Stegostoma tigrinum: one gene and its partner. The protein of the gene in region 1 interacts with the protein of each later gene in a pairwise test. Links are inferred from orthologs where the notes say so. Each region holds a gene or a part of one and is shown in the gene's direction. Other genes may lie near its edges.

Region 1 (10,024 bases):
GCTTATTTTCTGTTTGATGATTCAATATCGTTTGGAATGTTACTAGTGTATTCTACAGTAATGACTGATGCAAAGTACTTATTCATTGCTTCAGTCATTTTCCTATTCTTCAATATTATTTTCCCAGCCTCATTCTCTAAGGGGCCTGTGTTCGCTTTGGCCTCTCTGTTCCTTTTTATATATTTAAAGAAGCTGTTGCTGCCTGTTGTGTTATTACTTGCAAGTTTACTCTCAAAGTTTATTTTCTCCCTCTTTATTATTTTTTTCTTTTGTTGCTTTTTAAAACTTTCCCAATCTTCTGGATTACCACTAATCTTTGCTATGCTGTTTTATGCTATCCCTAACTATCCTTAATCATGTTTAGTTTATCCCTTTTCTACAATCATTCATTCTCACTGGGATAAATCTTTGTTGTGAGCCATTAACTATTTTCTTAAATGTCTGCCATTTGGCTTTCCTACAAAACATAAAGATTTATCCCTGTGAGAAAGAAGAATTGTCGGAAGGGGATAAACTTGGGGGAAGCACAGTGGCTCAGTGGTTAGCACTGCTGCCTCACAGCGCCAGGGACCCGGGCTCATTTCCTGCCTCGGTGACTGTCTGTGTGGAGTTTGCACATTCTCCCCGTGTCTGTGTAGGTTTCCTCCAGATGCTCCAGTTTCCTCCCACAGTCCAAAGATGTGCAGGGTAGGTGGATTGGCCATGCTAAATTATCCATTGTGCCCAGGCACGTTTAGGTTAGGTGGGTTAGACATGGGAAATGCAGGGATAAGGGAGTGGGCCTGGGTGGGATGATCTTCAGAGGGGCAGTGTGGATTTGTTGGGCCAAATGGCCTGTTTAGACACTGTAGGGATTCTATGAAAACTCCTTCCCCAGTACACTCCAAATAGCTTTGCCTTCATTGCTTTGTAATTATTTTAGGTTTAACACAGTTGTTTCCGATCCAGGTTACTGAGTCCCAAACTGAACGTGGAATGCCCTGCCTGCCAATGTAGTTAACTCAGCCACATTTGGGGCATTTAAACAATCCTTGGATAAGCATATGGATGATGGTGGGATAGTGTAGGGGGATGGGCTTAGATTAGTTCACAGGTCGGCGCAACATCGAGGGCCGAAGGGCCTGCTCTGCACTGTGTTGTTCTATGTTCTATGTTCTATGAACGTTAAATGCTACCATGTTATGGTCAATGTTGCCTAAGGGAATCTTTCAACATTGAGATAATTTATTAAAGGTTGTTGACTTGCTCGCAGAGCTGGCTTGTTTTCATTCAGACATTTCATCGCCATGCTCGGTAACATCATCAGTGAGGCCTCCAATGAAGTGATGTTGTTCTACTCCGCCATCTGGTCATTATGGTGAGTACTGTCATTTCCTGTTTTGATCTGTATGGGTTTGTAAAAGGGATCCAATTTTGTATGTTTGTTAATTGCATTATGGGTTGACAACCATGCTTCTAGAAATTCCTGTACACGTCTATGTTTGGCTTGGGCTACTACAGTTACCTTGTCCCAGTTAAACTGATGGCCTTCGTTGTCCGAGTGTGCCGATTTTAAGGAAAGTTCATGGTGTCATTTTGCTGCTAGTTGATGTTTGTATATTCTGATGGCTGCGTTGGTTCTGCATGTTTGGGAACACTCACAAGGATTAAAGACCCCACTCCCACAACATGCAGAACCAACACAGTTTACAAATTTCCATGCAAGGGCTGCCACAAAAATTACATCAGACAGACAGAAAGGAAACTAGCCATCAGAATACACAAAAATCAACTAGTAGCAAAACAGCATGTCTATTTCTCCTTAATATCAGCACAATTGGACAACGAAGGCCATCAGTTCAACTGGGACAACGTAACTGTAGTAGCCCAAGCCAAACAAAGACACGCACAGGAATTTATAGAGGCATGGTTCTCCACCCGTAATGTAATCAACAACCATATAAAATTGGACCCCATATACAAACCCATACAGATCAAAACCAAACATTCAGCAAGCAAATAGAATTGGATGCCATATACAAATCCATACAGATCAGAACTGGGAATAACATTACTCGCCATAATGGACCAGGCAGTATAAATTCCAAATGGAGTAGAATAACATAGCTTCATCAGAGACTCCACTATTGATATCACCGACCGTGGTGATGAAATGTCTGAATGAGAACAAGCCAGCTTGGTGAGCAAGTCAACAACCTCACCCACAACCCGAGCTACAGATCTTGGCTAAAACCTTAAATAATTTATTAAACTTGCTTTCTTGTACTGGTTAAGATGTTTCTTCTTCTGCACCCGCAAATCGTGTCTCACTAACTTAACTGAGTTTTTTGAAGAAGTAACAAAGAAGATTGATGAGGACAGAGCAGTGGATTTAATCTAGATGGACTTCAGTAAGGCATTCACAAGGTTTCTCATGGTAGACCGGTCAGCAAGGTTAAATCACATGGAATACAGGGAAAACTAGCCATTTGGAAACGAACGTAGGAGACAGAGGGTGGAGATGGAGGATTGCTTTTCACACTGGAGACCGGTGTGCCACAAGGATCAGTGCTGGGTGCATTGCTTTCGTCAGTTGTACAAATGATTTAGATGTGAACATAGCAGGTATGGTTAGTAAGTTTGCAGACGACACCAAAATTGGAGGTGTAGTGGACAGTGAAGAATGTTACCTCAGAGTACAACAGGATCATGATCAGATGGGCCACTGAGGAGTGCGAGATGGAGTTTAATTTAGATAAATGTGAAGTGCTGCATTTTGGAAAGGTCAGTCAGGGCAGGATTTTTATACTTAATGGTAAGGTCCTGGGGACTGTGGCCAAACAAGGAGACCTTGGAGTGCAGGTTCATAGTTCCTTGGAAGTGTAGTCGCAGGTAGACAAGGTAGTGAAGAAGGCATTTGGTGTGCTTATCTTTATTGGTCAGTGCATTGAGCATAGAAGTTGGGAAGTCATGTTGCGGCTGTACAGGACATTGGTTAGGTCACTTTTGGAAAACTGTGTGCAATTCTGGTCTCTCTGTTATAGGAAGGATGTTGTGAAACTTGAAAATGTTCAGAAAGGATTTATAAGGAGAGTGCCAGGGTTGGAGGGTTTGAGTTATAGGGAGAAGCTGAATAAGGCTGGGGCTGTTTTCCCTGGAGCGTTGGAGGCTGAGGGGTGACCTTATAGAGGTCTATAAATCATGAGGGACAGAGGCAGGGTAAATAGACAAGGATCTGAAGAAGAGTCTAGGCCTGAAATGTCAGCCTTCCTGCTCTTCTGAGGCGGCTTCGCCCGCTGTATTCATCCAGCTCTACACCTTGTTATCTTAAATAGACAAGTTCTTTTCCCTGGGGTGGGAGAATCCAAAACTGGACGACATAAGTTTAAGGTGAGAGGGGAAAGATTTAAAAAGGACCTAAAGGGCAACTTTTTCAGGCACAAGGTGGTGCATGTATGGAACAAGCTACTAGAGGAAGTGTTGGAGGCTGGTACAATTACAACAATTAAAAGGCAACTGGATGGGTACGTGAAGAGGAAGGGTTTAGACGGATATGGGCCAAATGTTGCCCACAAATCTGCACCAATGATTTGCAAAGCCAAGATACCTGCTGAGATGGCATCCTAAACTAGAGGAGAAAGTAGGAGTTAGTCCCCAAACGATCCAAAAAGATTTACAGGAGAAAGTGCCTTTTTCAAAGTGGTCTGTGTCAGGGTTTGAAAGGGTTAATTGTCCCTAATGTCTTAAGCACCATCCACTATGATGATATCATAGGGACTTGGTGGGAGGGTAAATTTGGATAGTCCTTCCTCAATCTGTTCCTGCAGAAGCCACACCCAGCCTTGAAATTTGATCTGATCCCACAGTGTGAACTGTGAGAGTTGAGTGGTAGATCAGAAGTGAGGGGGTGTTCCTGTCAGACTGGGAGCACAGCTGGTAATAACTCAGTCAGGGCTCCACTGTGACCACTGCTGCCTCACAGTTCAGGATGACAACATTTCAGTTCTGACCCCACTTGAGCTTTCGATCCACCCCACCTTGCAAAGCCCAAGTTTAGGATTGTGAACAGCAAATGGCCAACAATCTAGGTCCTCCTTAATCTCAATCTAGACAGTTTCTAATCCATGCTGGAGCAAATGGGACTAAACTCAGGCCTCCCGGTTCAGAGGTAGAGTCATTGCCACTGTACCAAATGAGCCCATACTCTCAGTCTATTCCATCAGTTGCTATCATTAGAATAACCAACATCTTAATAAAAACAAAAGCCCTTTCTTGTTAAACTATCAAATCTGTTTTTCTCCAGCACACCAAACCAAGAAGGCCCTATCAGGAGAGAGAATAGTGGATGCTAGCTCACGATGGGCAGGACGGACGAATCATTATACAGCAGCAATGAAAAGGTCACAGATCCATTGACACAGATACTGCCTACATGATTTGCTCTTTCAGCATTTTTTGTTTATCTTTCACTACCACAAGGAGTTAAGGCCAAGAACATTTCAGGGGAAGCTTAATAAACACACCGCTGGAGAGAGAATGTGGTGAGACTTGTCCCTCATTGGGAAGTGTCAACAGGATCTATATCTGTGGTCTAAATTCTATTCAACAATCGTATCCGAACTCCCCACAGGGAGTTATCATTTGTCATTTGTCAGTGAAGGATCGGTGATGTATCACTTCCTGGAATTGATTGATGAAAAAAAACCCACACAAATAATTCTAACGTGTAGTTTTGAAAAACCTTTTTCGGCCGGTAGCTTCATTTACAAAACTTCCTTGCTGACAAACAGCCCGCTCACCATCCCACCTTGCCTTTTTCCTGGGAGAATCAGTGCCAATTGCTTTCTCTCGCCTTTCACATTCACATGAAACTGTAACTAAATTAGGAGAAATAACATGAAGCGGATGTTGCTGTAACAGGCAGCACACGCCCACTGGGCGAAGGAGTGTTGTGTAACGAATGTGACATGTGTACGGTTAACTTTGAGAGGGGAGGGGGAGGTCGAAGAAAAAGATCAGATTTTAAAGGTTGTAAACCCCTCATTTAAAGCAAAAGGGTAAATCCGAGCAGGAAGCGTCAGAACGTCACAAAACGTCCATCAACCGAGTTAGTTCCGGCTAGTCAGACACGTGTTAATGTTTAAAAAAAAAGTAGACCTGCTCCTGTGTTTTTTTGTTACGAGTGGTTTTCTTGGAGCTTTCAACTAGCAAATGGTAATTGGAACCAGACGGACACAGGCAAGTGAGCGGAGTAGAATCGGCCCCTTATTTTTCAAAAGAGAGAAAAGTACGAAAAAAAATCCAGAGAAGGAGGGGGATCCCCCGGGGAGGAAATTCCCGAGCTGCTGGATGGAAATACGCCGATTACGAAATGACATGGAGGGAACGGAATGGATACAGTCAGTCACTGCCCCTAGGACAAGGTTTAATCTCTTCATATTTACTATCTGCCTGTCGGAGTGAACGCTCCAGAGAATCCACATTTAGCTACAGTGTCTCCCATTAATTAGCTTTCAATGCTACTCAGAAAGTACGGACAATTTGTGCTAATTACTGCATTTTTAACATTGTCCGCAACCTCTGAATCAAAATTGAGACAGTAATCTATATATATATATTTAGAGACCGAGGGTCGACTTTTTTGGCAACTTTTTTTAACAATTTGACACAGCACACAATGTCTTCGTTTAGATATCTCTTTTTCTAAAAACTTATAAGAATTTCGAGAAGAAAATCCCGACTGATTGCTTCCCCCCCTTCCCGAGTCGGGGGAGGTCGCATTCAGAACAGCATTTATATACAATGTCTGTGGACGGCGATGAGAATGCGGAGCAGCAAAAGGACAGCCGGCTTCCGAAGGCCAGGCTAAAAAGCTACAACACCATCACCACTTTCTACCACGAAACCCTGCAGGAAGTGGGCCGCCTGAGTCGGGAGCTCACCCTGAAGGACGGCCTGGTCAAAGACCTGCAGGCTCGCCTGGCCGCCTACGAGGGCAGCATCGCGGTCGGTTTCGGCCAGGAGCCCGGGGTCAGCTTTGGTCCGTCCGGCTCCCTTGTGGACTGTCTGCTGCAAGAGGTGGGTAAAGTCAAAAAGGAGCTGGCGGATTCAGCAAGGATTTGGCAGCAAGAGAACACCAAGCTGAAAGAGGTAAGGGGCAAAAACATCTATCTGTAAAGATGTGTCTAGTATTTTTGGAAAAATAATAAAAATCTTCCTGTGGCATAGTGAAAATATATAATCCAGGTTAATTCACAAGTGAGTAAAACCTGCTGGGGTAAGGAATTCCCTTTTGTTCAGAATCAGTAGATGCTGACTTTTATCAGAATGGTTCTAGGAATGAGGAGTTTTGGTTTTGAAGATAGTTTGGAGATTTTGGGATTCATGTCCTTTCAGAGAAGATTAAGTGGATATTTAATTGATATTAATTTGTTTCATGGCTTATTCAAAATCAGGAGGTCTGGACAGAGTAAATTGTAAATGTTCCCACTTATGAAATGATGGAGGAATGAAAGGGCACAGATTTTAAAGTAATTGGCAAAAGCATTGAGGAAACTTTTTTTTAAATTGAGCATTTAAGGTCTAGAATGAATTGCTGGAGAACATGGTGGAGGCAGGATCAATTGAAGCATTCAAAAGGGATGTGAACTTACCTGAAACGGAAGAAAATGCAGAGTTATGTGAACATGTTGGAGAATATTATTAAATGAATTTCTCCTTTAGAAAGCTTGCACAGGCACAGTGACCTGAATGGCCGCCTCCTGTGCTTGTAACAACTTGTGTCGAAGGGATGTCGCACAAAGTTAAAACAACTGATCTGGATGAACTGTATTTTTGGATGTCTTTTAACAAAAATAATCAACTGAAGCCTGCCTAAGCTGATTGTGTGGGTTCTGATACACAGCATTGGTCTCAGTTGACGTAACAGTGTAACTTCCCTCCTTCGGAGGCCGGGAGTCCAGACAGCTAGTGACCCACCTTGAAATCGTCTTTAGATTTCAGGCACCCTCAAATGCATACGGGAGGATAAGATCTGATTCAACTAATACCCTTGAGGAAAGGAAAACAGCCCCTCGGGCTTACCTGTATGACTCCAGTTCTGCCCAATAATGGTCATGGTGGCAAGTCACTCAGTTGTATCAAATCTCTCCCAAGAGGTCCAGAAGAGTCACTATTACTTTCTTATTAAAGATGGCCAATAAGTGGTAACTTTGCCCTGGGGACCACAGCCCAATGAGGGAGAAACAAAGAATACATTTTTTTTAAGGAGTAAAAATTACATTTTTCTTCTTTTCCTAAATGTCAGCCACATTAAAAGGAATGCTTTTTTTATGAGAAAATTAGAGAAACACATTGTCTTTGTAATACCTTGTCCCAGAGTATTTCTAGGTAATAAAGTACTTTTGAAGTGCCATCACTGTCGCAATTTAGGCTCAAGTTCCCAAAAACAGCAGGTAATAAAGATCAGAATCTGTTACAGTAATATTGGCTGAGGGATAAGTACACTGCGGAGAATACCTCTGCACTTCCACAAAACTGTAGTGTGCTATCACCTGAGAGGGCCCGCAGAGCCTTATCCAAAAGACAGTGTCTCTGATAGTGCAGCACTAGGAGTGTCAATCTAGATAGTCAGAAATTGCATGACACCAGGTTTTAGCCCAACAAGTTTATTCAAAACCAAAGCTTTTGGCGTCTCGCTCCATCTTCAGGTGTTAGTGAGAGAGGTGGTATCACTATCTCTTACTAACACCTGAAGAAGCACTGAGGCTCTGAAAGCTTGTGTTTTCAAATAAACCCGATTTTGACTGAGGGATAAATATTGTGCAGGTCACCAGGGGAGACTCCTGTACTCTTCCTTGATTAGGGGGCCATTGAATCTTTATGTCAATCCCAGCTGAAAGAAGTCACCTTCATTCTGACACTGGGGATGTCAGAGCTTAGATTTTGCGTTGCTGTAGGAATTGAACCTGCAGCTTTCTGAACCAGAGATGAAAGTATGATCCACTGAATCACGTCTGACCAATCATCTTGCTGTTGGCCAGACATTTGGTTTTCCTGTTTTTCCATTTCTGAAGCTAGAAGCCTCCAACCTTAAAATTCCTAACTTCTGCATTTACTCCATGAAGTCCTCTCTTCCTCATGACTCCACTGTTGTCCACCCAACTGATTCACAGCACCCTTTGTGTTCCTAGAATGTCTGACATCCATTCACAACAACACATCTCTGTAATATTGATTTTTTTTTCAGGATGTCAGTATCGCTGGCAAAGACATTGTTTTAGTGACTGTCCCAAGTTACTCAGAGAAGGTGGAGCTGGCCCACTGTTACGATATCAATGGTGGTTTGATACAGTAGAGTGACTGCTTGGCAATTGAGTAATTAAGAGCAAAGCATGTTGGTCATTCTTCCAATAGATATGATATGATATGAAAATACTCAATGTGGTCCTTTTGAACTGAGAACAGAGAAGAACGTCAACATAGTATGAGAGGCTGCGACTGATAATTTTGAGATCAAATTTCAGCAAGAAAGTGGGGAATTTAAACTAACTTGATAACATAAATCTGGCATCAATTTGCATCTGTAAGTGCAAACACAAAATTACTGGATTTTTCTGTTTACAAGTTTCCTATAAGGAAGGAAATCTGTCCTTGCCCAGTCTGGTCTCCATGTAACTCCTGATCAACAGCAAAGTGATGGAGTCTCAATGGCCCGAGCAAGTCACTTCCCCCAAGATAGGGATGAGCAATGAGTGCTGGCCTTTCCAGCAATGCCCGCATATCCTTGATTTGAATAACCAAATACTTGTGAATTTGTGCGTCCAAAATTGATTTGTGTCAGCAGAGGTTCTGCTTCTTCCAGAATCACTCTGTGACTGCCATAATTATGAACTTCCCCCTTCTGCGTGATCTCTTTTATCCCACCCACGTGTAAATCAAACTGATCTATTAATACCATGTAAGTTTCAGTCCCTGGGGTAAAGCAGCTATGGCTACAGAGAAATTTGAGAGATTATGCAGGAAACTCAGTGGCACTTTGAGGACTCTGTATTCAAAGTCGACTAACTCAGGTGATCTGAAAGGTTTCTTTGAAAAAACCCACTTCTTTACTTATGGATTAGTGAGAATGTGGAACTTGCTGTCAGAAGAATTGATTGACTTGAGAAGCATCAATGCATTTAAGGGGAAGCCACATAAACACTTGAAGAAGAAGAGATTCAAAGGACGTGTTGATGGGGTTAGAAGATAACGGTTCATGTTGTATGAGCTCTGGTGCACACCAAATGGCCTTCGTTAACACAGTACAGTTTCTATTTGTTTGCATTGTTCAATTTGAATGATAGGATGATTTAGGTATTCCATGGGGGCGGGGTGGGGGGGAGGGCGGAGGATCTTTCAACACAGTAGCCTGTACTGGTTACTTTGCCCACGGGTAGCTCCCTCACTTTTCAGCCAGGAGGCTATGGCTACAAGTTCCACTTCCAAACTCGAACAATACATTTTGGTTGTTGTTCTGTCGCAGTCTTGAGGGGGCTGTTGCACTTTGAGGTACCACCTTTTGGGTAGGATATTAAACCAGGACTGTCCTCTGATGGATACAGAGATCACGTTGTACTATTCTGACAAAAAGGAGGTTCCTGGTTATCCAATATTTATCTCTCTATCAACTGCTCTTTTTGGGAGCTGGCAATGTATAAATTGGCTCTTCTTGCCTACAAAACAATATTGAGTAGAAATATAGAAAATGGGAGCATGAGGGGCTGTTTATTCCATCAAATCTGCTGTGCCATTTAGTATGATAATGACTGATCGTCCAACTAAGTGCACTGTTCCCACTCTGTCCCCAGACCCTTTGATCCCTTTCGGCTAGGAACTATACCTAACACTTTGAAAAGAGTCAATGATTTGATGTCAGCTGTTTCCTGTGGCAGAGAATTCCACAGGCATACCACTCGCTCTCATTTCTCCTCTCAGTTCTGAACAGCCTACCATGTATCTTTAGATTGTGACCCTTGGTTCTGGGCTCCCCAGTCAGCATGAATAT
Region 2 (10,373 bases), on another chromosome or scaffold:
TTTTTGATTAAATTAATACCAACGCATCCCAAAACAAATGTAATATCTGGCTGATAAGAGGACAATAATTTTAACTTTGCTTTGGGGTCATTGCTGTGGCACACAAGTTACACCTTCAGTCAAATTGTTCAATATCTTAAATCTGTTGAAATGCCATTTGAGAAATTTGCCTCTTAAGCTTTCATCACTGCGTACTTTCTCTAAAGTCAGTCAAGACACTTAAAGTGGAATTATCCAAGTTAGGTCACGGCATTGCACTCAAAGGCGCATCCACTAGAATTGATTTGAAAATGATTGAGCTTTGCTGTGTCTTAAGGTACCTTAGTAATGGATTAACTGTATTATTGTAGCTTGCTGCTTTATTGCAATATTACTGTACATCCTCATATCATAGAATACTTACAGAGTGGAAACAGGCCCTTCAGCCCAACAGGTCTACACTGATCCTTGGAGCAAGCCACCCAGACCCATCCCCATATAACCCACCTAATCTACACATCCCTGAACACTACAGGCAATTTAGCATGGCCAATCCACCTGGTCTGCACATCCTTGGACTGTGGGAGGAAACGCACACACACATGGGGAGAACGTTCAAACTCCACACAAACAGTTGCCCGAGGGTGGAATCAAACCTGGCACCGTGAGGCAGCAGTGCTAACCACTGAGCCACCACTTTGCTGAATAAGAGTAGCAAAAAACCAGAAGATGTTTCAGGAACAATGTAAATATCCTACAGTGAAGCAGGCAACATGCAAAGTAACACAAATCTGAGAGAAATTTGTCAGGGCTTCTTTTGTTCCTAGGTCTGAATGAAAGGCTGGAGATCCACCGTGTTTCATTTTCTATTGACCTTCAAATTCAACATGGGTAGAACGTAAATTACAAAGTGGTGAAAAGGCATCTACTGGGATGGAAAAATCAGACAAAGTGTAAAACACCCTGTATTGTTTCCCACTTGCTCAAGTCACACACATGCCCTGATTCTTTTATATTCCTTCATGGAGTTGAGAAACTTAAATATTCCTTAGTTTCTAGGAGTCTTGCCTGTATCAGAAACAGTAGCGCTCTTGAACAACGTGCTGATACAATTTCAAAGAAGCTTTTCTAAACTTGACTGAGTGGACAGTTTAATTAATATCACAGATGTTCACGGTGAACAGGGTTGGCCAAGTCAAATGGCACAGGATGGTTATTGTTCTCTGTATGAACTTGCTGTGTTGCAATAAGTATTGTGCTGAATGTTCACTTTGGGAGGGGAACAGGAGTTGACACAATTTGTTGATCTGCAACATAGCAGTCAACTAGCATGCAAGTTCTTACAAATAGTAATGTGATAATGACCATCTAATCTGTTTTGTGATGTTGACTGAGGAACTAACAGCAGACAGTGGGGACCTTCTGTGCTCACCTGAGAGAGAAAAGCAGTCTCAGTTTAACCTACCATCTGAAAGATTGTTCATCTGACAGTGCAGCATTCCCTCAGAACTGTTTTGCATTATCAGCCTAAATTTCTGTTCTCAGGAATGTGGCATGAACCTCCAACCTTCTAGGTCAGAGTTGACACTGCTACCAAATGAACTGAATCTGATCGAAAATAAATGTGAAATCTTACAGAGAATGACCACAATGTTGGATTGCTGATATTGTGAAATTGTGAAATTCTGTAATATAATGAAATTTTCAGTTCTGTGTCCTGCTTCTTTTACATTTTAGTTTTCAGAAACTTAATTTGCACTTGTTTTCCCCTGTCGTCCAGCAGGACTATGACAACTTCACCTTTTTTTTAGTCATGCAGTAGGATTTGAAATGGTTAGGTGCTTATTTTTTTTCTTACATTCAACCTCTATATAATGCTATCCCATTGCTGATGGGCCCTCAGTTTACAAATAGGTTGGCCCTGTAACAAAAGGAGCATTTTGATGTTATTTGATGACGTTTACAATGTAGCACATAAACTTTCACAATCCACAGTTAGATTGCCATGCTCTGAATTTATAGAGTTTACATCCTCCTTTAAGAGAAATATAGCCTGTTTTTATTGATATATTCATATTTTTGCTGAATGTGCATTGCATAGCTTTTAAACACAACATGTCCACCCTATTCCTACTCTCTGACAAAAGTTTTTTTTCTCTTTACACTCTGGTAAACAGGAACTACTTTTGCAAAAAGCCATGAGTTAGGTTGACAGTACTTCCAGGAAGGTTTAGAAATCTTATTTAATTTGTTCCGTATATATCAAACCTCTCTATTCATTCAAAACTTTCCACTGTTAATCATACTCTGCTCAAGGCTACAGATGAGCATGAATCCTTCTGTACTGGCCATCACTAACAGTGTGAGAAATAGTCGGCAACAGCAATTGTGCCTTCAATCTTCTAACCAGGAGGATATGCTTTGACCTTTGCTCAGCACCCCCAGCCAAAACTCAACCATCCTGAAAAAGGAATTAAAACCTGCATATCCTCCCATCATGTTTCTATGGCTCAATGCATTGAAGTTTGCTGCATAAAGCTTCATGCACTGCTGATTGCTGGTGGAACTGGTTTTCACTTTCAAGTTGATCTAACATCAATTTTCTGCACTTGAGTACTGAGTCAGTCAAGTATTTTCATTTAATACAGAACATGTGCATCACTGTGATGACATTGCATGTTGGTGTACTAATGTGGTATAGCACAGACTGATTGGATTGACTTTACTCTCATGATTCTCCACATAGCGTATTCATCTCTGCTGTGTTTTTACGGAAACTTCTCTACAAAGAGATTGTGAATCTGAAATTCAATTAACTACACCAGCTCAAAAAGTGGACTAAAATTAATTTGCTCCATCTTGCTCAAAGGCAGAGTAGAACATACTGAGGCATTAGTGTTGTGGTAATATCGGTGGGTTAGTAATCCAGAATCCCACGGAAATGTGGGTCAAATCTTACCATGGGAGATGCCATTTTCTCCAGATCATACTTGTTTATATCAATCCCCCATCACAAGGAGAGTTACACAAAATACAAGTGGGATTCTCCACTAATACTAGCTTCCCTCAATTGCAGGGTGTTATAGAATGCATTCGTGGTGCTTTGTAAACATCCTAACATCAACCTGTAGAATTCATCAAATGAAAATGCTTCCACTGCATATATATTCAAATTATATATGGCTATATGTGTGCTTCAGATACCCTGGAGCTACCAAGTTAGAGAAGTCTCAGCCTCCTGTTTACTTCCAAGGTCCTTGAATGGCAGTTGAGAAATAAGAATTAACTCCTCCAAGCATGACTGATAATACTTTTACAAAACCTTGACACTAACAGCGAAGATATGGCACTGTCTATGTTTTCACCAGGCCCTAGTGGAATAGATCATAGGCTTCTTAACAGGAGGTTGTGACGCCTGCACCTCTCCAGCAGAGCCTTGCAGTTTAACTCAAAGTGTGTGTTGCATTGTTGCAGCATGCTGTAACCTTCATAGCTGGAGCCAAAAAAGGATGGATGTCTGGGTGCAAATGAAACTGGGGATTGACACAAAGTCTCTAAGGATGAACAGGAGGATGAGGATATTACTGGCAAGAATATCTCACATGGGGCAACATAATTGTGTCTGGCAGTGACAAAGGCATTGCAGAAAGCATTTTCAAGGTGGAAATGCATATATACAAATGTGCAAGATAATTTACAGTGATGTGTCACTTGTTCTATCCATATGTCCTCAGTAAGAATAAGGTCCCTGCCCATCCCACTACTTCTATGTGCAGTTCTAACTCTGAACTGGGGTGGAAGGACCCTGTTCTGTCATTGGCCTGAAGTAACCTTGTAAGCTGCAACTCGTGGCTTAATGTCCCCAGAGGTGTTTTGCTTAGAGACCTAAGGCCTGTTGGTGGTGTGCTGTCCAGATGAGGTTTCACCCTCCACAGCTTGATTTCTGCAGTCTTTGGCTTCATAGGGGAGTTGGAGGAGCTGGGTGCCTCTTAAGTGTCCTGAGACAGAGCATATGGGCCCCTCTGTGTTGCTCCTTGCTGTTGGCACTTGCTGTCAGCATCCTGTCTGCCTGAGAGAAAGAGGCACCAGGGGAAGTGGAGATCTCTCATTTCCTTCTTGTGCTGCTTTGATGCTGAACATCACTCAAATGTCAAATTGGGTGTAAACATAATAAAGCTTTTAGTCAGTTTTATAGCAGCCTCCCTGCTATTGTGGCATCATCAGCTGGGCATGGTAGTCTGAAGTGATCTCCCAGCCTCATCATCCTCGAGGTGAAGCCCAGTGCGGTCTGGAACCAGGACAGGAAGCTCGGTGTCAGCGTGGTCTGTTGTTCGGAATTTTTGTTTTTGCAATGCTGGACATTTTACTTCTTCAAGATCTATCCATGAACTAGTAACTAAAGAAGCTGTATCCAGGTACCTTTGTATAAACTTTTCACAATACTCATTGAGTATATGTGATAATAAAGGTTAATTCTAATTTAAAATCTGGTGCCAAACACTAGCAGATCTGTAACATCACAATGAGTATTTTTTTAAGGGTTTACTTAATTTGTCACAGGTTGAATGGACTTTGTAAAAAAAATCCCTTCAAGAAATAAAAAGACATACTTATCAAAACAGTGAAAAAAATCTTCTTTAGGTCAACAAATTCTTGGGACATGATTTTCAGCACGTATATGCTTTTTCAGGAAAGCATGCAGCCCAAAATTTTACAAAAGTTGGCAACAATTTATTTCCAGTTAAAAGTGATTTGGTTAAGCTAAATTTCAGGGACATGAAATTGATGAAAATGGCACCAGCATAGTGAGTACCGTTCAGGCTGATTGGAGCCCATCTACTCCAGGCCAGAGGTGTCGTTTTCTCGACGTACTTTTCAGGTTTTCTCTTTCTGTTTGTCCTTTCTTCCTGAAGTGGTGTCAGTAAGGGCAGCATTTGCAGGGTCGGCGGAGGGGGACTCCTCCGGGTTTGGAATACCTTACAGAGACCTTGCAGAAGCCTTGAAGACCCCAACTTGAAAGGAACACGAACTCCCATTTTAGTAATTTCTTCTTATCCTTTGTAACTCAAAATAGCACTGGATTGTGGTGATAAATCCCTTTTCACTGTATCTTCACGGTATGCGACAACAAATCGTTCATTCATTCAAAACTTCAATTCTGATTAGAAAGCACTGGTTACTTTAAATCTAAATGTAGCCACGGTGCATAAAATTGACAAATCATTACCTTTTTTAAAACTTGTGAATTGAATTTAAAACTTTGCAACAGCAAAAATTTTGTCTCACCGTCCTGTTAAGTCACCAGAAATCCGAGGGCACTAAGTTCAAAGTCTGAGAGAATGTAGCATTTAAAAATAACCCTCACACACCTCTCTCTCTCTCTCTCATAGCTATATTAAACCCCTGGATTAGGACCAGATCATCAACACACTCCTTAACGCAGGAGACTGAAGTGGACGCGAGGTGAGCTGGTGACCATTAGAAGCTCGGAATTTTAGAACAGGGGCTAGTCTGATTTGCTGCTATACCGCTGATTGATACAGATATCAACCAATGAAACGCTGCGGTTTTTCCTAGCAACCAGCCAATAGAAGCTACGAGCGCTGAGTGTGAGGCGGGCCTTTGTCGCTGGTTGTGAGGTAACAGCGATAATTGACATGATGTCGGATCAATGGAAAAGAGGAACAGCGTTTGAAGGTGGGACCTGTTTTTGCGTCGCCTGGTAACGCAGCTAACAGACATGGAGGACTACCAATAGGAGGAGGGAATAGTGCCCAGCGGGCTTTGGGGGTGTGATGACGCACAACGGCAACTCCGGAGTTGTTCAGGGGCAGGTAAACAAAATGGCGGCTGCCTAACAACTGAACTCCTTGCAGGAGGAGGGAGGAGAGGCGATGCTGCATGGAGCGGAGCAACGACAACATCAGTCAGAGGAGCCCGAGGAATCCGAGTCGATCCTGGCGCCTTTCAGAGACTATGTCGAGATGGACGAGGTCATTGACTACATCAGTGACAACGACCTCATGGGAGTGGACACTTTCATCCACAGGATAGATTCCACTGACGTGATCTACCAGCCGAGGAAGAAACGGGCCAAAATCATCGGAAAGTACCTAATGGGCGACCTCCTGGGAGAGGGTTCCTACGGCAAAGTCAAGGAGATGCTGGACTCTGAGACACTGTGCAGGAGGGCCGTGAAAATCCTCAAGAAGAAAAAGCTGAGGAGAATCCCGAACGGGGAAGCGAATGTGAAAAAGTAAGTGGATGGAAGTAGAAATATTGCACACACGATCGAGGCTCATGAAGCGCCTGTAATGCTTACTGACAGTTCACACCGAATCCCTAAAAGTGGCAGTTGGACAGGCTCTACCCCATCCCCCTCAACTCCCCCATCGCCACTTTTCACTTTTGACAACCAAACCCGTCAGTCCATCGTCGCGATTCTTGCTCCCAAAGGGACAACGAGAGGTGAACTAGTAGCCTGTCTTACTGCAGCCAACCTGCATGTTGGTTTGAAATCTTTGGATTTCTGATGATCATATCTTTTTTCAATGTAACAAAGGCGGTACTTTCGTGCTCCGTCTCTTTGAATTAAGAAAAATGAAGTTCTGGTACCAGACTTGTCAAGTTGACATATTTTTGAAACGGGGAGGAGTAAATGTTATAGTGACATCGTATTCTTGAATCTCACAGCTATAGTAATATATTGAGCTTAACATTTTGAACCGACGACATTGGTACGAGACAGCTGTTTCCATTTAAACACCCAGTTTTAGTGATCTAGGTTGGAGAAAGAGGAAGTAAAACATTTGAACGATTACGATTGCCCGTTGATTTACCATATAGTTTGTCGTCATTGCGATTTTTGCGACATATAGCAATGAGCATTATGCAGAACAATGTTTAATTTTATTTTCAACCAAAAGATAAATTTAGCCAGTTGAATGTTGCAACCGCCTAGCTCCCATTTCTTTCTGTGGTTTAAAAACTCAACCACTGAACAGCAACTTACATTGTTTTAAGTATTGTATTTGACTTAACGATGATGTGAACTGCGTGTTTAGAAATGTGAAACAGGGAAACAGTTCTCATTGAAAATGACACCTCAATTAAAATTTAAACACAATTTAAATGCTTTCTATCACTGTTCTATTGATTTTATATTCTTCCTACTAAAATCTGAGCTTTTAATTTGCCAAACAAAAATATTGGGGACATTCCTTGGCTGAGTTCCCAATTTTGATTAATACTTATACTCTGGCTTCACTTGGGGCAAGATTTAGTTGGTTTTTAAAGGGTCATCGTGTGATTGTGAATTTGGGACTCTTCTCTTTCAGCGTTGGCACAGGGCTGTCTAGTCAGGTCGGTAAGGAAGTGAGTTCTTTTGGGTTCATGACATTGAAACTAAAGAGGAAAGCATTGATGACTTTTGGGGTTTGGGGAAAGGGATGTAATTTTGAGAGAGTTGATGATTGTGACGTAGCCGATATCTGTTCAGTAATCTTAGAAATCCTCTTCACCACTTTTACAAATATTAGATAAATCTCCATACATTTGCTTCAATTATTGAGTCAAAATATGTAAAAAAGAGCACTTGTACTGTTAATACAGTCAACTCTTAAATGAGAGTCCTGCTCATTTATTATTTGTGCCGTGCCTTCTTCCAAGATAGCTAGCATCTAACTTGCTTCAGCACAGCTAAACTCACTTAGATTCTTGCTAGTCTAAATATTCAACAATATTTGTTGATTCCTATAAAGAAATCTTACCCTGATGTACAGAGCTGAAAAAACAAGTGTAGGTTTTTCACTGAACAGTCAGTCAGCTTTTTGGATAACCTTTGTAATTTTTTTCTTACTTTATGTTGGTTCATGGTGTTTAAAAAGTTAATATTAGTGATTTTGTTCAAGTGAATTTGGACTATGAAAGGTCTAAAACATTTGATCCAAATCAAGTGTGGATAATGCATCCACCCATTGTTGGTTGCTGAAGGCTTCCTGGCATTACTACTCCAGTTCTGTTTTGACAGTGCCAATATTCCATCCTCTGTAAAATTAGCTCATTCAAATCTCTGCTGCTAACTTGCACAACCTTCCTTTCACCTATTAACCATCTGCTGATGTAGATTGGCTGTAGTCTCACTAACACCTTGAATTTAAAATTCTCATTTTTGTATTCAGATCGCTCAATGGCCTTGCTTCTCATGGTTGCAGTAACCTGTACTTTTGGAAATCTCTGCTCCTCAAATTCTGATCTTGCATGTATATCTTTGATTTATGTTGTCTCATCACTCGGTACCTTTGGCTCGCCTAAGCCCTGAGTCTTGGAATTGCCTTTTTCAACCTCACTATTTCTCTCTTTTCCTTTTTAAGTACTCCATAACACAATTTATTTGATCAAGTTTTGGCCATTTGTCATAGTTTTTTTTTCTATTTATGTACCTCAGCATCAAATGTTTTTGATAACACTGCTGTGATATACTTTGGAATGTTTTACTGTGTTGCAGGTGCAGAATAAGTGCAATTTGTTTTAAGGAATTAATAACACAGCAAAAAAATAGGAGCAGGAGTAGGCCATTCAGCCTTTGATCTGTTCTGCCAATCAGTAAGATTATGGCTGATCTGATTTAAGACTTAATTCTACTTTCTTGAATGCTGCTTGTAACCTTTGATTCCCTTGTTGGTCAAAATTCTGTCTACCTGAGCTTCATATATAGTCCATAGTCCAGCCTCCACTGCTGCCTGTGGAAAATTTCAAGGGCTGATGACCCTGAGAAAATACATTTCTTTTCATCTCGATCTTAAATGGGAGACTGCTTATTTTTAAAATGTGCACAGTATTTCTAAATTTCTGTATGAGGAGAAACATCCTCTCCACAACTACCCTATCAAACTCATTCAAACCTTGTATTTCAATGAGATCAACTTTCATTCTTCCAAACTCATGTGTATGGGCCCAACGCATTTAACCTTTTGTCAAAAGAGAATCCATTCTTTCCACATGTTTGTTTTGCATTCGCTCGCGCCCTGAATTTAATTTTTAACTACTTTTCAATGTTTCCCGTTAAAGTCCACAAAGCTTCTGAATCTTTTTCGTTAGTTGCTTTTCTACTGGATTTTAAAAAATCATTTATAAGCTTGTGGCAATATTATCTGTCCTTTAGCCTAAGGTATTGATATATATTTTATCCCTGAGGTATCAGTACTTACCCTCATGCCACTTCACTATCATCCCCAATACCATGAGCATCTTGTGTGGTAACTTTAATCTGGTACCCTTATCGAATGCTTTTAGCACATTCAAATACACTGCATCCATAGGTTCCTCTTTTTCTACCCTGCATTTTACAACTGTAAAGAATGGTGATAGGTTTATCAAATATGAATTCCCTTTCACAACTCTGTTGACTTTGCTTGCTAGGATTACAATTTCTTACATATCTTGCGTGTACCACTTTAGAATTGGATCCTAGCATTTCCTGAAATACAAAGATTAATTGGACTATAGTTTTTGCATTCTGTCTTCCTGCTTGAGTGCGTGTTGTATTTGCCGATCCTTAGTGTGCAGGAAGCTTTTCAGAATCTGGCAATTTTTGAAAGCTTACCACTAATGCATCTGCTTTCTCTGCATATCTTTACTTGAGATACAGTCATCAGATACTTGTTGAAGTTGTCAACCATTAGCGGAGGCCATGGCATTGAAGCACTCAGTGTGCCAATAAATATTTGAGAACAGGAGCCTAAGTAGGACTGGAACAGAAAACTGGAATGACTTAGGCCATTTGGCTATCTGTGGCTATTTATGAATGCATTCCTTTATGAAAAAAATTAATCAGCACCCAATTTGCTGATAAAGGCACTCCTTTTGCAGATTTACCAACTGCTGTCTGGAACAGTTAACTGTAAGCTGTTTATTGACATTAATTTTCCTGAGATTGCCATTATGTTATGATTGTAATTTATATGCTTATGATTATGTCAAACATATTAGTCGATGCATTTTACTGTGATACAGTCATAGAAACGCTACCTTTTGGAATCAAGCTCTGTGTTCCAGTGCCATTCTAGGACTAGTACGGAAGCAAAGTATTGTAGATCCTGGAAATTTGAAACAGTAACAGAAAAAGCTGAAGAAACACAGCAGATCTGGTAGCATCCGTGAAGACAGAAATAGAGTTAATATTTCAAAGGAAGAGCGGCATTGAACTCGACATGTTAATGCTGCTTCTCTCTTCACAGATGCTACCAGACCTGTTGAGTTTATCAAGTATTTTATGTTTTTGGTTCACCCTAGGACTTGATGACTATGGAAGAGATGCATCCAAATCTTTGCCAAACAAATTTAATATCATTCTGCAAGTTCTTCCATCAGCTCCAGATATAATACTGGGTTAT

The links.
Region 2: the proteins of tnip2 (region 1) and stk11 interact in binary tests that used the Homo sapiens proteins (3 or more experiments, as listed by UniProt). The link is inferred for Stegostoma tigrinum from reciprocal best matches to the Homo sapiens genes TNIP2 and STK11.

Annotation. Positions count from the first base shown.
Region 1 is NC_081356.1:130,374,857-130,384,880, forward strand, and holds the start of tnip2 (TNFAIP3-interacting protein 2), read left to right. Parts: upstream 1-4,960; 5' UTR 4,961-5,781; coding exon 5,782-6,129; intron 6,130-10,024. UniProt on the Homo sapiens protein: Inhibits NF-kappa-B activation by blocking the interaction of RIPK1 with its downstream effector NEMO/IKBKG.
Region 2 is NC_081383.1:17,097,522-17,107,894, reverse strand, and holds the start of stk11 (serine/threonine-protein kinase STK11), read left to right. Parts: upstream 1-5,775; 5' UTR 5,776-5,873; coding exon 5,874-6,235; intron 6,236-10,373. UniProt on the Homo sapiens protein: Tumor suppressor serine/threonine-protein kinase that controls the activity of AMP-activated protein kinase (AMPK) family members, thereby playing a role in various processes such as cell metabolism, cell polarity, apoptosis and DNA damage response.